2 linked regions of the Tribolium castaneum genome follow. The main gene of each other region encodes a partner of the protein of the gene in region 2 in a complex. Links are inferred from orthologs where the notes say so. Each region holds a gene or a part of one and is shown on either strand. Other genes may lie near its edges.

What was found. The genes of interacting proteins can lie anywhere in the genome.
Region 1: the proteins of IntS2 (region 2) and defl are in contact, whole or in part, in a cryo-EM structure (PDB 8RC4), measured with the Homo sapiens proteins. The link is inferred for Tribolium castaneum from reciprocal best matches to the Homo sapiens genes INTS2 and INTS7. Residues at the interface, in NP_065799.2 of Homo sapiens: Gln27, Lys28, Val29, Cys48, Arg51, Met52, Cys55, Ala56, Ala58, Asp59, Gln60, Ser61, Trp64, Phe92, His93, Ala186, Glu187, Pro189, Ile194, Val218, Asp220, Ser221, Asn223, Glu224, Ser259, Leu262, Lys263, Arg265, His285, Gly294; in NP_056249.1 of Homo sapiens: Leu38, Gly39, Glu40, Cys42, Glu43, Val46, Arg47, Asn77, Phe78, Leu81, Cys82, Leu84, Lys85, Gln88, Gln89, Asn114, Asp115, Pro116, Val117, Ala120, Ile121, Arg124, Val153, Glu156, Val159, Phe160, Ala163, Leu195, Lys196, Pro199.

The regions. Positions count from the first base shown.
Region 1 is NC_087397.1:6,154,566-6,162,308, forward strand, and holds the start of defl (integrator complex subunit 7), read right to left. Parts: upstream 4,121-7,743; 5' UTR 3,926-4,120; intron 3,871-3,925; 5' UTR 3,859-3,870; coding exon 3,768-3,858; intron 3,722-3,767; coding exon 3,592-3,721; intron 3,544-3,591; coding exon 3,259-3,543; intron 3,213-3,258; coding exon 2,966-3,212; intron 2,918-2,965; coding exon 2,737-2,917; intron 2,688-2,736; coding exon 2,531-2,687; intron 1,424-2,530; coding exon 1,206-1,423; intron 1,155-1,205; coding exon 673-1,154; intron 624-672; coding exon 325-623; intron 268-324; coding exon 66-267; intron 20-65; coding exon 1-19. UniProt on the Homo sapiens protein: Component of the integrator complex, a multiprotein complex that terminates RNA polymerase II (Pol II) transcription in the promoter-proximal region of genes.
Region 2 is NC_087401.1:16,827,258-16,834,980, reverse strand, and holds IntS2 (integrator complex subunit 2), read right to left. Parts: upstream 4,820-7,723; 5' UTR 4,704-4,819; coding exon 1,863-4,703; intron 1,014-1,862; coding exon 800-1,013; intron 753-799; coding exon 463-752; 3' UTR 442-462; downstream 1-441. Other genes in the region: RpS27 (small ribosomal subunit protein eS27-like), read right to left, coding at 5,240-5,494; Arc42 (short-chain specific acyl-CoA dehydrogenase, mitochondrial), read left to right, coding at 5,847-5,994, 6,050-6,426, 6,472-6,652, 6,701-7,314. UniProt on the Homo sapiens protein: Component of the integrator complex, a multiprotein complex that terminates RNA polymerase II (Pol II) transcription in the promoter-proximal region of genes.

The DNA.
Region 1 (7,743 bases), on a different chromosome or scaffold from region 2:
TCTTCAACAACTCAATGTGCTACAATTTTAAATAAAACACACAAAAACGAAGCGAATTTAAGTACCCGGTGCGTTATTGTAGTCATTGAAGAGCCATCATCAAGAGCGTGCGCAACTGTTAAAGCATTGCAACAAGCTTTTGTCAACTGTTGCGATTCGAGACGTGTTTCACGCGATCCGAATTCAATCGGATCGTCACGGATTTTTGATCCGTTGACACAAATACTTTCCACGCTTTGCTCCACAAGCACACACATTTGTTGCAAACTGCAAAAACACACGTTAAAAATAACTAAATGTACAGAAAAAAACAAACGAACACACATTTGCATATTTTCTAAGGTGGCAGGGTCAGCGTCGAACGCAGTTTGGTACAGCTTCCAGTAGAGGTCGCCACAATTTTTAAACTCTTTCACACACTTTCTCAACTGATTCGTGATATATCCGTGTCTTTGATACTCATCTCGCGTGTTTTGGACGATAGTAGCGGCAATCGCAGGCGGCGGGACTATACACAGGGTGTTGCAAGTATAAATGAGTTGGATCAAAGACTGGAGAAACTCTGTACGGATTCGCATATACTCCGCTTGGAATTGTAAATTATGTGAGGGGGTACTAGCCGCCTGAAACAGTGCGTAACAATCACAAACCAAAAGTCGGTAAAACAGGAACCTTCAAAGCCGCGATGGCTTTATTGTAATGTATGATCGCCCGTTCCAAGCGATTTACCAAACTATCGTCCGAAGTGAGTAAAAACGACTCGGCTTCCGACATTTCCTTCAAACAAACCAACCAGAAATGGAAATGTTCAGAACTGACTTGTTCCGTCAGTTGGTTGAAAATCGTATTTGCGATTTTGTGGTGGCCGTATCTGACCGCAGCCCGCGCTATGCAATAATTCGCCCACAGATTGTTATTTTCAATAACGCAAAAAATCGCACTTTCGGTTTCTTCGTTCCAGGTGTAGTCAGACATGCTTTGGAAAACCAGCGTACAAAGCATGATTTTGATGCGCGTTTGTTGCTCCGTTGGTTGGTCGATTTCGGATAAAGCGCGCAATAAGTTGAGAATACTGGCGAGAAGCGAGAGTAAAGTGTCGGGTTTGAGGCCCCCAATAGCCCCCAAAGTCTCACAGATGACGATGGTACAGTCGTCTGTAAAAAATCGATTTGATTTGTTCTTGAACCATAATTGAAATAACATACTGTGTATGTTGTCGAGGCGAGTGCCGAGCAGTTCCACAAACGTCTCGCAATATTCTCTCCGCGCTTCGCACAGTCGAACAGCACATTTCAGTGCCAGCTTGAGCTGTTTTGGGTGTTTGTCGTTCGAAAAAGTCAAAAGCAAAATTAAAGTTTCGAGGGCCGAAATCACTTCGTCCGCTCTTTCAGTCTCCAGTTTCTCCTTGTAGCTAAAAATACGACTGTTTTTTGTTCTTCCTGGGTAACGGAGGACTAAACTATTAGGGGGCGACAGGTGTAAAAGTCAGTTTTAAAATTTTGCACAATAAAACGACAATTTAATTTGAAGCAAGAATCAAATAATTAAAAAAAAATACAGAAAAATTGCCTTTATTTTAAATGTGTATTAGAATAGTGTAATTACAAATACTTATTAAGATTTCGTTAAAATGGTTTCTCTGGAATTTTTGCTCAACAAATAAGTTTTAACAAAAAAAAAGTGACGTAGGCGTAACAAAAATCAGTGAATCAGACAAACTTCTTTGTTTTCCACCTCGTAATAATTAGTTATCTCAAATAGTATATTTTGTACTGGTAACGTGTTATCCATATTCTTACACAATTCGTTGGCTAGTGTGTGTTGATTGTGGTTAGTGTATGCTACTGGATAGGATTTCAAGGGAGAAAAAAAGGAAACAATCCGGATTTAGGGGTCAGTCTTTAGTTTTTTCTTTTTAGAAAGATTACATTATTATCTAAAAATTTAATGGCACATTTCCAATCTCTAATAAGAGTTGAAAATACCTTTATTTGAGGTATTTTGAAGAGTTGTCTGTACCATGTGATCATTTGAATTTATTAGTTTTATAATTTGTATGAAAACGCTAATTAACATAATTAAAATCAAGCTGAAAAGTCAAAGTGAGTCAAATAAAACACTAAAAGGTGTCTCTGGTTAAATAAAAATTGACCTGTCTCGGGATGTTTTAATTTTTTGTTTATTTTCTGATACTCAGGGCAGCTCGTTTTTTAAAAATCACACTGTATATGGTATTATTAACACCTTGTACTTATTTTATTTTTTATTTATAGATTTATCATCTCCTTAGCTTCAAAAAACTTCTATAATTCTATAATTATTAATAAATAAATTACGGCGAATTCGATACTGAAATAAATATGGAACAAATTTCAAATTAAAAAAATCTCTTGTTTGGGCAAATTTTATTTGTTTCACAGCTTGCTAAAAAATTAAGTCTTAACATTCCCGCATCAAATAATTTAAGACAACGATTTTAAACATCATTTCGCCCCTTAGTTTTGCCCTCCGTACCTATGAGAAAACTCACCAGTAGCATAAAAGTTGTGTCAAAATTTGTATAGCTTGCACTGCGACTGTAGGCTGTGACGAATAACAATGTTTCATACACAATTCTCTCAATTTTGAATTGCTGTCGCGATAATCATGACACATTCGGGGCGATTCAGTCAAGACTTGAATCACACCTAATCATCAATTAATCAGTTTGCAAAACAAGACCTCAAATCGTCTTACCAAGAGCCAGGGTTAATAACCGGGCTTGATGCGTGTGTAAAGTAAAATCTATGATATTGTTGGTGGCCCCCGGGGGCCACAAATGAGCCCCCGGTTTGGCGAACTGGTACAAAAATTGCAAACATCTCGACTTGACTTCACTCCCCAAGTCTTTGCGTAAATATTGCAACAGTAAATTGACCTAAAAGACAGTTTTGGAGAATATTGGAAGACAAATTAATGAAATTACTTGACTCGGGACGTCAACTAGAGTCGCCGTTGCCAACTGGGTAAGTGTGTTTAGAGTGACCAAAACGAAGTCTTTGGCTGGATAACTTGGCAGTAAATCGATACAGAGTGTCCTCACCATCGCAGCCGTGTTGGTATCATGGTGCATGTATTGTAAAATTGGGATTAATTGTAATTTCATGCTGGCAGGCGTTGACTGGCCTTGGATCATGTCAGAGACTTTGTTGCACATGCTTACGGCGAATGTTCTACAAATTATTGTTAAAATAATGAATTCTGAGCAACTTTTACTACTTTGATTGGGCGGCAAACTGAATAGCGGCGTAAATTGCAGCTTGGACTTCCACATTATCGTGAGAATCTAGACTGCTTCTAATACTGTGGTGCACTTGCTGTCGCTCCGGAATGATGGCAGCCACGGCCCCAAACGTCCTCAGCGTCACAGCACGAGCAATAGGGTCATTACTATGAATCACACTGTAAATCCTTCTAACGAACTCATCAACACTCGAAATCTTATCTAGATGTTTTTCGCTTTGTTGGCACACACGCAACACGCACAGTCTTAGGAAATTGTTACTAAAAACAGTGCCATTAAATAGAGTTATTTACAGTAGAGAGTTGTACCCCATGCGAAAAACTTCCGCTAATTTCAGTAATGACGCATTGATGAGGATGGGGAAAGGATATTTTTCGAATAACTTTGGAAAACGAACAATTGCTTCGCATTGCTCGCCCACTTTACCGGACCGGAGCCCTAAAAAGACACTTTTAAAGAAGGCACTCAATACCGCGCTTTGAACCTTTGTCAAGCTCGGTTAAAGCCGAATTGGCGTCTTGCTCGGGCTCTCCGAGACCGTTTTCATTGAAGGCACTCACGCGGACGCTCAGCATTTTGGAAAATCGCTGGAATGTTGTTAGTAGGCAAAACAAATATAACCTGGAATTTTTTTAATCTTACGGGTGAAATATTTCACGCCAGTTGGGTCATCAACTCGTGAGAAAATTACAAAGTGGGGGCCACATCGGCATTCATGTCACAAAATCAATAAACGCGTTCAACATCCAAACTTTTATTTTTTGGTGTTTTTAGCATAGTTTTTAGGTTAGTTTAACCTATGTTGGGAACATAGAATAAGAGAGAAAAAAATGGTGCTGGCACCAAGAACATTACAGTCGACCAGACAATCGCTGCGTGCATGGAGCTAGCACCATGTCCCCACTATTCTCGTTTTCTACAGCCAAGTTCACACCAGGCAAATTATCAAAATAATTGTAAATCATTATAAAAACATCAATAAGCTGTTACGCTGACTTGCATCTCACATTTGTAGAACATCTCCTGTATTTAATTTCTGCATTTTTTATTCTCATATTCAAGCAACGCAAACTGTTTTTTTTCACCCCCTTTATATCCTGCAATTTTCTTTATTTTTGCAGGGGATTAAGCCCTTCGATAGGGCCTTCGACTGTAAAAAAATCATGTTCGGATAAAGTCCCCTTGAGATCTTAATGAATTTTTAAAAATTCTTTAAAATTTTCATATTTCGCAAACTTTATCTTTAAAAATTCATTACAGTATTCAGAATGGCCCCCGAAAAGCGAATGAGTTATTACAGAAAAGGAGGAAAATAGTAAAAATAATGAATAAGAATTTTGCAAAATGCTCTTATAGAAAAGTTGTTGTACTTTATGTTTTATTACGTGGTAAATTTAGCACACGTCAACACGCCCTTTATAAACGATTAAACACCCTTTTTAATCAAAATGTTTAACACGAAAAGTTCAATTTTGTCCTATATACATTTCAATAAATCACACTGAAGTTTAAGTCGTTGACTCAAAGGTAGATTTATCTGCCCATAATATATTCAATCAAAATTAAAAACGCTCTAAAAGAGCAGAAACGAACACGAAATCCATAAAAATGAAAGATTTAACATTTCCAAATGATAACATAACCCTACTTTTAAAACCGAATTTTCTGGAGACCTAAAATTAACACAATTTGTGGCAATACCACTAATTTTCACACCAAAATTTCATTCACCGGCTCGTTTGTACTAATGAAAAGAGGAAAATAGTGAAAATAATGAATAAAAGTTTTGCAAAATGCTTTTATAGAAAAGTTGTTGTACTTTATGTTTTATTATGTGGTAAACTTAACACACCTTAACATGCCCTTTATAAACGATTAAATACCCTTTTTAATCAAAATGTTTAACACGAAAAGTTTATTTGTGCCCTATATACATTTCAATAAATCACACTGAAGTTTATATCATTGACTCAAAGGTAGATTTATCTGCCTTTCAATTCAATTTAATAATAATTAATAACGTTCTAAAAGAGCAGAAACAGACACAAAATCCATAATAGTGAAAGATTTCATATTTCCAAATGATAACATAACCTCACTTTTAAAACTGAATTTTCTGGAGATTTAAAAACACAACTTGTGGCGATACTACTAATTTTGACACCAAAATTTCATATCACAGGTTCGTTTGTACAAAGGAAATGAGAAAAATAGTGAAAATAATGAATAAAAATTTTGCAAAATGCTTTTATAGAAAAGTTGTTGTACATTATGTTTTATTACCTGGTAAACTTAACACTCGTTAACACACCCTTTATAAACAATTAAACGCCCTTTTTTATCAAAATGTTTAACACGAAAAGTTCATTTTTGCCCTTTATACATTTCAATCTCACTGAAGTTTATGTCGTTGACTCAAGGTAGATTTGTCTGCCCACAACATATTCAGTAATAATGAATAACGCTCTAAAAGTGCCGAAAAGCACACAAAATCCATTAAAGTTATAATTTAACACTTTAGAAGAGAACATAACCCTGCTTTCTGAACTTTTGTCTCTATCTGGCAATAGCACATAAATTTTTGACGCAAGGTAGATTTTTCTGCCCTAAATATCCTATCACAACGCTCTGAAAAGGCAGAAATGGATAAAAGTGTAAATTTTGTCATTATCGGGTAACAACATAACCCTACTTTTCGAACCTACCGAATTTTCAACAAAACAACCCAAACAAACAATTTGTGGCTATACGCATTGCGATACCACTAATTTTCGCACCAAAATTGTACATTGCCAGTTTCTGTTTAAATAAAAACATGCATTTTTATTTTTCCATTAACTGCATGCGAAACTTATAATTTTAGACGTTTACAGGCAAATACATTTGACATAATTAATTTTTCTAGATTAATACTGTTCTATTTTGAATAATTCTGTGTATGAATGTCTCTAAATTTGATGGATTCTGCCAGTGAATGTTTCTGGTGACGACTATTTTAGACTTGAACATGACGTCACATTCGTGACGTGTCCCGAGGTTAGGTGTGCGGCGCAGGCGGCGAGAGCGCTTCAGTCGACAGCGAGCGGTGGCACGGGTCAGATCGGAAGCGGGAAGCAGGAGGCGAGGCGAGGTGAGGCGGTTTATTTAAATTATTGTGCCGTTTCGTTCAATTTATTCAGTTTGTTACTTGCCGTTGTCGCGAACGGACGTGTGCTCAAGCAAATCTAAATTTTTCGGTTTGAATTTTAAATTCGGTGATCGCGTTTAGTGTGTGTGTGTGTGTGTTAGTGCCAATGGAATGGACTTTAAGGAGGAAACAATCCGGATTAAAGGGTAAGTTTGCAGTGATTTATTTTTAGAAAATTAAATCAAATCTGTGATATTTTCAACTAGTAATTTAAGAGCACATTGTTCTAATTTCATTGTTTCTTCTATTGCAGTAGGTCCGTTTAAGAAGAAGATGGCATCGGAACAGAAGACAAAGGTAGGTTCTTTTTTTTTTTCATTTGCGGTTAATTTATTTTCATTGTCTTGCTACAAACGGTAGCAGACGTGCGTTTTAATATTTTTAAATGCGGTGTTCAAAAGTCATAATTTGAGTGACACGTTTTAAATTCAGTAACTATAAATAAAATAGAACACTCAAATCATTTATTGCCACGTATTAATTTTGGCTTTAATTTCAATGAATGAAAGTGGCTTGTTCAAAATTTAATGCAAATAAAATTTTTTTTTGGTTTCATTATTATTATTATTATTTTTTATGCTACAAACGGTAGCCAACGTAGAAGCGATATACAGGTACGTCCATTTTATTATTGTGTCGTATTTATTTATTTCACAAACCAATAATTTCATAAAATTTAATTGCAATTACAATGTTGTGTACACCGGCTCTAAATACGGTGTTGAAAAGTCATACTTTGAGTGACTCATTTTAAATTCAGTAACTATAAACAAAATCAAACACTCAAACAGTTTATTGCCACGTAATAATTTCGTCTTTAATTTCAATAAATGAAAGTGGCTTGCTCAAAATTTAATGCAAATAAACATTTTTTTTGGTTTCATTTTTATTATTATTATTATTATTTTTTTATGCTACAAACGGTAGCCAACGTGGAAGCGATATACAGGTACGTCCATTTTATTATTGTGTCGTATTTATTTATTTCACAAACCAATAATTTCATAAAATTTAATTGCAATTACAATGTTGTGTACACCGGTTCTAAATACGGTGTTGAAAAGTCATAGTTTGAGTGACTCATTTTAAATTCAGTAACTATAAACAAAATCAAATACTCAAACAGTATATTGCCACGTAATAATTTCGTCTTTAATTTCAATGAATGAAAGTGGCTTGCTCAAAATTTAAAGCAAATAAACGTTTTTTTTTGGGTTTCATTTTTATTATTATTATTATTTTTTTTTATGCTACAAACGGTAGCCAACGTGGA
Region 2 (7,723 bases):
CACACAAAAAATTATTTATTACACATACAAAGCTATAAAGAAATTAATTATCTGTTAAAACTAAATTTGCAGTTGTAGGATTGAGAAATTCATTAGCTTTTTCTCATAGGTTGACATGGAAAAAATGTGAGAAATTAAATTTTTTTAATGAATTTATTTTGTTTTCGCAGGACGGACAACACAATTTTGACAGAGTTTGTCGTTTGTTTAATCAGAAATGTTTTTATAGCCAACCATGCAAAAATAGCTGTGGTTAGTAAGAATTTTTTTACAATGTCAAAAAAACCAACATAACTCGAAAATTATCACAGATAGGTATAGGGAATGCTAATACCGATCGATGCAGAAAAAAAATCTCCTCCATCTAGTAGAAAAAAATTGAGATATCCCATTTGAAAAAATTAGTTATGGGTGCTTGAAGTTAACAAATAAATAAAAACGCATTCACTTTTTTTTCAAACTTTATTCCTGCTTATAAATCTTCGATTTGAAGACAGCCCTATCCAAAATATCACTAAACGTCTCCTGTACTAACACACACAACTCCTTGCTTTCCTCGGCTGAAACTTCCAACTCTTTGCCCAAGTGGACGTCAAAATGCGACGCTAGCGACGCCTGTGATTTGCAAACCTTAGCCAATTGCATCATTAGATTGACGATATCGTCAACCAATGGCGGGAAAGCTTCACTTATGCGCACCAAGGCGGGTAAAATCGGGCGAAATAGGCGCACCCTTTGACTACTCGACAAACCTAAGAAAACAAAATTGCTAAATTTTCACACCAAAAAAAAAACGTACTTCCAAGTAGGGCGTAAAGTAGATTCAGTGCTGCCACACATAAATTTAAACTTTTGGGCAGCGCGTATTGTATGCACAAGTGTGATAACAACTGTATCGCAAAAATTTGTTTATCGAGACTTGGCTGTTGCATTAATTCTTGCAAAAAATCCAAACAGATGTGCATGGAGGGCACGCCTTTGACCATCACCTCGATCAGCTCGCTTGGATAGCCCTGAAATAAACGTCAAAAACTATATTAAATATATAGTAATAACACAATAAATATGATTATTTAAATTCACACGTGCGAATTAAATTATTGGTCTTAACATAATAATATATTCCATATCGAGCGCGATGTAAAGAGCTTGGTCTATGGGTTTAAGGACAACAGAATTTTGAGCAAAAATAGCTGTGGTTAGTAAGAAACTTTCTACAATGTCAAAAAAACCAACATAAATCGAAAATTATCACAGATAGGTATAGGGAATGCTAATACAGATCGATGCAGAAAAAAATTCTCCTCCATCTAGTAAAATAAAAATTAGGACATCCCATTTGAAAAAATTAAGTTACGGGTACTTGAAGTTGTCCAAACTTAAGCTTAAAATTTTTGGGTTTGTTAACTTCTTTTCCAATTCTGAACACACCGGAGGACAGATGTAAGCCTTGTCTTTTAATTCTCCAAACATTTTTTCTAAATCTTCAAAACTAAAAGAGTTACCGACTTTTTAAGTGACAGGTGCAAATCCAAAAATTTTCAAAAAATCTTAAATATCTCGAAAACGGTTAAACTTAGGTATAGGGAAAGCTGATAAAAACGGCCTTAAAATAACTCAACTAATCCAAAAACGCAATAAAAAACATAGATTTCCATTTAAAATAAGAAAGTTAGTAGTAACTTCCGGTATAACCAAAAGTGCCACCATCTTGAAAATATTTTCAAGATTTTCATTTCAACTGAACTCAACGGATTTTGGCCGAGTACCAACTTTCAGATAAATATCTTTATTAGAACTTTGGGGTTTAGACGAAACACGCTGTGTATTCCATATCGAGTGCGATGTACACAATCACTCACCTGAAAGTGTACCAGTTTGGCCAACATCGTATCCGCGATAAAAACCTGGTGTAGATAACTACAAACCAACGACCTAACTTCCTGAAGTGCCCACTTTTGCCCCCCAATCGTACGATCCTCATCTGTCTCAATACAAGTTTCTAGTAGCATTTGAACAGCTGCACTTTCCTGTGCTGCAATGGTCGCCCGACACATCTCCTCTCTATCACTCTCATTTAAAACTTGCCCCGCATGATCCAATCTCGGATTAGCTTGCAAATGTTGCATTAGTTGGCTGCGAGACGACGCGAGACTTGCTCTCAACACCCTCAAAACAATCGCATATAAAGGGGCACAGCGAAAAACACGCTCATCGCATCGCATGATCTGGAGAGGATCCTCAGCGACATCGATTCGTGTCAGGTTTGAGAAATCATCGACTAGGTTTTTGACGGTTAGAACCCACAATCGGCGGGGAAGTACCGTATTAAAGCGTAACCATACGTCTCTGTACAGGTCTTGTAAGTAGCGTGGGACATTGTCATTTAGGATCTTGCGGGCGAATTGTGTGAAAATCTCGGCAAATGGCCATATATCTATGGCTTGCTGTTTGAGTAAAGTTTGCATAAGCTTGGCACACTTTGATGGGTTAGTGTCCAAGTCATTGAAAGCCTCAATGACGCTTATTTGCGTCACGTGGGTTGGCTTATGCTCCGTTTTGATGGACATATCGTCCAACCAATCCTCCACTAGTGTCAAGTGGGGGAAATGCGTAGCTAGGAGTTTGAGCAACGGCCCGAAAAGACCCGAATAGGAGCTTTGGTCTTTTTGGGCGTGGTGTAGCAAGTATTTGATTGGTAGTTCCGATAAAAATTCGGAACTATACAACTTGATTTTGCGGTTAAACGCGGCCAAAATGTGGGCGTTAACCAATCGACAGTCCTCGTACAGGAGGAGATAGTAGAGGAGGAGGAGTTGTGGGGTGAGACTTGTACCATCCACCACAACGTCCTGATTCTCACTATTTAGGTCAAAATCCATGGTAAAAATCGACTTTTTGTGGTCGAAATACTGTCCAAAGATCGAACTTTGAAACACGCGCCGTATCTCATTCTCACTCAACGGCTTATTAGTCTCAGTGTTCCGTGAGGTTGGCATTATAACACTGTTAACGTACACTTCCACTAGCATTGGCAACACTGGATGTAAGGGACTAACACTCGTACAGATCTGCTTATAGATCCAGTTTTTTATATTCACGTTGTGTTTGGCAAACGCGCGCGATTTAAGCAACTGATGGATGCAATGTATGGGTAAAAACCCGGTCATATTCGCACTTAACGAGTTCGTAACCGGAACCTTAACCGCATGTGCGGTTACAACTTGTTCCGTGAAAATCTCCTGCGTGAAGACTTGCTTCATCCTTGTCATGTTGTTATGTCTGATGGGGATTTTCATCCCCAAAGTGGCACACACCAAATCACAGATGGCACTCAACTGGTTACTATGAAAATGTATAGCCATCAGTAGTAACATTTCGCCAAAACTGGCAGTAACGCCACTGGCCGACTCAAAATACGCCTCCTCCTTCACCAACCATTGCACCCACTCGATGCTACGTCGCTCGTGCTCTTGCAGCGAAATCAGCGAGGGGCAGGCAATCAACATGCACAGACCAATGGAAACGAAGCGAACGCCCGCCGGGGTGGGGCTTGGGTGTGACGTCAACAGACGCACCAATGCCGTGACTTCATCCTCCTGAAACTTGATTGCTGCGATCCCGCGAAGCGCACAATAGAGGCGCAAGAGGGCGGAGCCTTGAACCACGAGACTGTCCAATAGGTGGCCTTCGACAGAAGCGGCGAGAATCACGTGCAAGCGACGTAACAACTCCTCCCTTAGTTGCAAAAGGGCGGTGCTTGAAATCTCCCCCTTCTTTTTCTGTCCAGTCCGGATAAATAACGCGATCCAGTTGCGTATTGTTTGGTCGTTGCCTAGCAACAGCCCGGAGATGAACGCCACCATGTCCCCCTCCCCGCCGTCCAGAGATAGTGTGATTGCGAGCGCGGGCATTCGGCACAATTCGACGCACTTGCTTCGGATTGTCAAAGCCTGGCTCGGATTCATTTTACAGAGGAGGGAAATCGTGGCGGCTCGGACTGTGCTCAGTTTGGTTTCTTCCTGTTTTTCCCCCGTTTGGATCAAGTAGGTGCAAACCTCTCGGAAGCAGTCGGGGAAGTTCGCCACGATTCGGCAAATGATGGGCGGGCCGTTGTGCAAGTGGAGGAGGGTTTCAGTGATTGTCAAAATGTTTAGAGTTATGGGGAGTTCAGCCAAGGCTATGCAGATAATATCGGACAATTCCTCGGCGAAAATGTCGTTGTCGAACAGTTCCGAGGGCTTGATGTAGCTCGTGTCCGAGTTTTCGTCCTGGATTTGGCTCTGGACGTAGAGTAGTTCCCCGAGTAAGATGCTCAAACGGCGGGTCATGTCGCTGCGTTCGTACTCCAAGGCCATGCTGGTGTTTGATAAGTTGCCGATCAGGATCGAGTCGTTCTGGAGGGCTACGCCCTTCTGGCGCAGCTGCTGCTCCTTCTTGACCTCGGTTTCCAGTCGATGGAAATCGATGGAAAGAAGGGCAACGATCGAATTGACCAGTTCCATCCCGGACACGATTGTGAGAATGTCGACCTTCATGGTGGTGCATTTTTTCGACGTGTCGAGGGGCGAGATGAGCCCCATTCGCACGAGACAGGGCAACACGGGGCGGATCTCCACCTCGGTGCATTCGGACAGCTGGTGCATGTCCACGTTTTGGATGGCGCGGAACACCTTGGGGTCCACGCCTTTCTTAAACGACATTTTCACGCACAAACCGGCTTTGTTTACGGCACTTTTGGGGTTATGTGCGCTCTCGCGACAGCGATCTACTTTACCGGCTCCGGCTTGACCACGATTTTGAATAAAACGATAATTAATACTTGATTGTTTTATTTATTGAGGCTGGTTGAGGGGTTTTGGCTTTAATTGCGCCCTTTGGGGGCATTCTACGGCTTGGATAGTCGTTAATTAATTGATAAGTGTGGTTATGTTTTTTGACAAGTGTCAACTGGCCTAACGTGTCTCAACTGGTCTGAACCTGCAGTTATTTTTTTTGTGGATTTGGGGCCAAATGACATGGTTGAATGAATAGATTGCGACGACTTTTTGGTTTTTGGTCTTGTGTTTATTGATTTTTTGGCACTAGGCCAATTTCCGGGCGCTAGAACATTGCACAATTTTGCTACATTTTCCCTTTTTTGCGTGTAAGAGATAATAAGGCCATTCGGTGGCTGGAAGGATGAATGAAAAAGCGGCTACTCCCAATAAAATTTATTAGAAAAAATGAATACACTACATTAATGTTGCTTTCTCCTGAAGCTGCAGCCCTCCGTGAGTCGGGCTTTGCCCCCGGTGGATGTGCACAGGATGGTGGAGCACCCTTTGCAGGGGACTGCAGACTGGGCATGGGAGAAGATGGTAGAGATGGCGTAACATCCTGGACATTTTACGTCCATGAAGTAACTATTGGGATGTTGCACCAACCTCTTCTTCTTATGCGATTTCTTCTGTTTTTCGGCAGAAGGGTGCAATAAATCGACTGCTAACGGCATCTGGAAAAACACAAACATTGCTCAAAATACGCCAAAATTTCACCACAAACACTTGACTAGGCATGTTTTTGGTCGTTTTACGCTTTTACGTACGTTTTTAAACGCTTGGGACACTCAAAAAGGCTGATTTTTTCCACAACGCACGTGGTGACTTCGGCTATCAACCGTGTAAAGGAAAGTGACAGATGACAGGCGGTACCACCATAACGCCGTCTTACCAACACAACGAGCCGAAAGAACCCGCCTTAATTGATAAATAAATAAATTATTGATTGACCATTTAACCGTGCGCCCCTTGGACTCAATAAAAACGTGGCTCTGACTTTAATGGGGGCCCATTAATTCGTAAAAAATGCAGCTGTCAGTTTTGACAGCTGACCTAACCTTGGAACCACTTACGGAATTTTTACTAAACAATTTAATAATCAACGAGCAAAGTACACGTCCGTGTAGTTTACAGTACATCATGTTCGTTTTCACGCGAATTGTGGCCCAAAATGGTAATTTTTACCTAATTCGTCTAAATTTGTTTATCCACGGCCGTCTTGATTGCAGTCAAATCGCGGGGCATAGCCTCCCTGGCAGCCCTCTCTGAGACGCACCAAATGTTGCAAAAGACCTGTCGCGACTTTGCCGACAACGAGCTAAAGCCCATCGCGGCGAAAATCGACCGTGAGCACCTGTACCCCAAAGAACAGATCCGCAAAATGGGCGAATTGGGGCTCATGGCCGTGGCCGTCCCTGAAGAATTCGGGGGCACGGGCCTAGATTACGTGGCGTACGCCATCGCCATGGAGGAGATTTCCAGAGGGTGCGCCAGTGCCGGTGTTATTATGTCTGTTAATAATTCGTTGTATTTAGGGCCGATTCAATATTTCGGAAATAAAGAACAGAAGGAGAAATTTATCGCGCCGTTTACGAACGGCGATAAGGTGTGTTGTGTTAGTTGAGGCAAAGGGGCTCATTTGGTGTTACAGGTGGGGTGCTTTGCCCTGTCCGAGCCGGGGAACGGGTCCGATGCGGGGGCTGCCTCCACGACGGCGAGGCTGGACGGGGACCAGTGGATGCTCAATGGGACCAAGGCCTGGATCACTAACGGCTTTGAGAGTGAAGCAGCCGTGGTTTTGGCCACAACAGACAAAAGTTTAAAACATAAAGGTGCGGGTTGTATAATTGGTTGCATAACCACTCTAATTTTTTATTCAGGCATTTCGGCGATAATCGTCCCCAAGCCAACAAAGGGGCTCGAACTGGGCAAAAAGGAGGACAAGTTGGGGATTCGGGGCTCCTCCACGTGCTCCCTCATCTTCGAAGACTGCCAAGTCCCCAAAGCCAACCTTTTGGGGGAACCTGGACAAGGTTTCAAGATCGCGATGATGACACTGGATGCGGGCCGTATCGGCATTGCCTCGCAGGCCCTAGGCATCGCCCAGGCCTCCCTCGAGGTGGCTGCCGAATACGCCTCCAAACGGATGGCCTTCGGAAAGCCCCTCCTTAAGCTCCAAACAATTCAAAATAAATTGGCCGAAATGGCCTTGCGTTTGGACGCGGCACGGCTTTTGACATGGAGGGCTGCCTGGCTTAAAGACAACCACAAGAACTTCACCAAGGAGGCTGCCATGGCCAAGCTGGCGGCCAGCGAAGCTGCGACTTATTTGAGCCACCAGTGTATACAAATTTTGGGGGGCATGGGCTACGTCTCGGACATGCCGGCCGAAAGGCACTATCGGGACGCCAGAATCACCGAAATTTACGAAGGCACAAGCGAAATACAGCGACTTGTAATCGCAGGGAATTTGATCAAGGAGTTGGGACTATAACCTGATTTATCGTTTTGTACTGTACTGTATCGTGTGTCAATATATTTTTTAAGCCCTAATTGAGCGTTTTATTGGCTTAATACCCCAATTTTGGTCACATAACCTCACAGTAAAAAAATGTGTTATTTGGCGTTAACGGGGCCAGGATCGTGTGCCCCCACAAGTGAGCAACGTAATGCGTTAGTGAGTGCCGCGTTTTATGGGTTTGGGGGGCTTAAATCCGCAAAAAATGTAGAATTATTTCAAATTCGTTGCCAACCCCTGGCCAAAAACCCCAGTTTTGTAACCAAGCCTCCACACACAGCTGATTTTGCCACTTGTCAAACCATTTAACAAATTTCCAGTGTCTGTTTACTGAAAACCGTGTGTTCAAGGAGGTAAGCCCCCCAGAAACCGGGTAAGTTGCCCC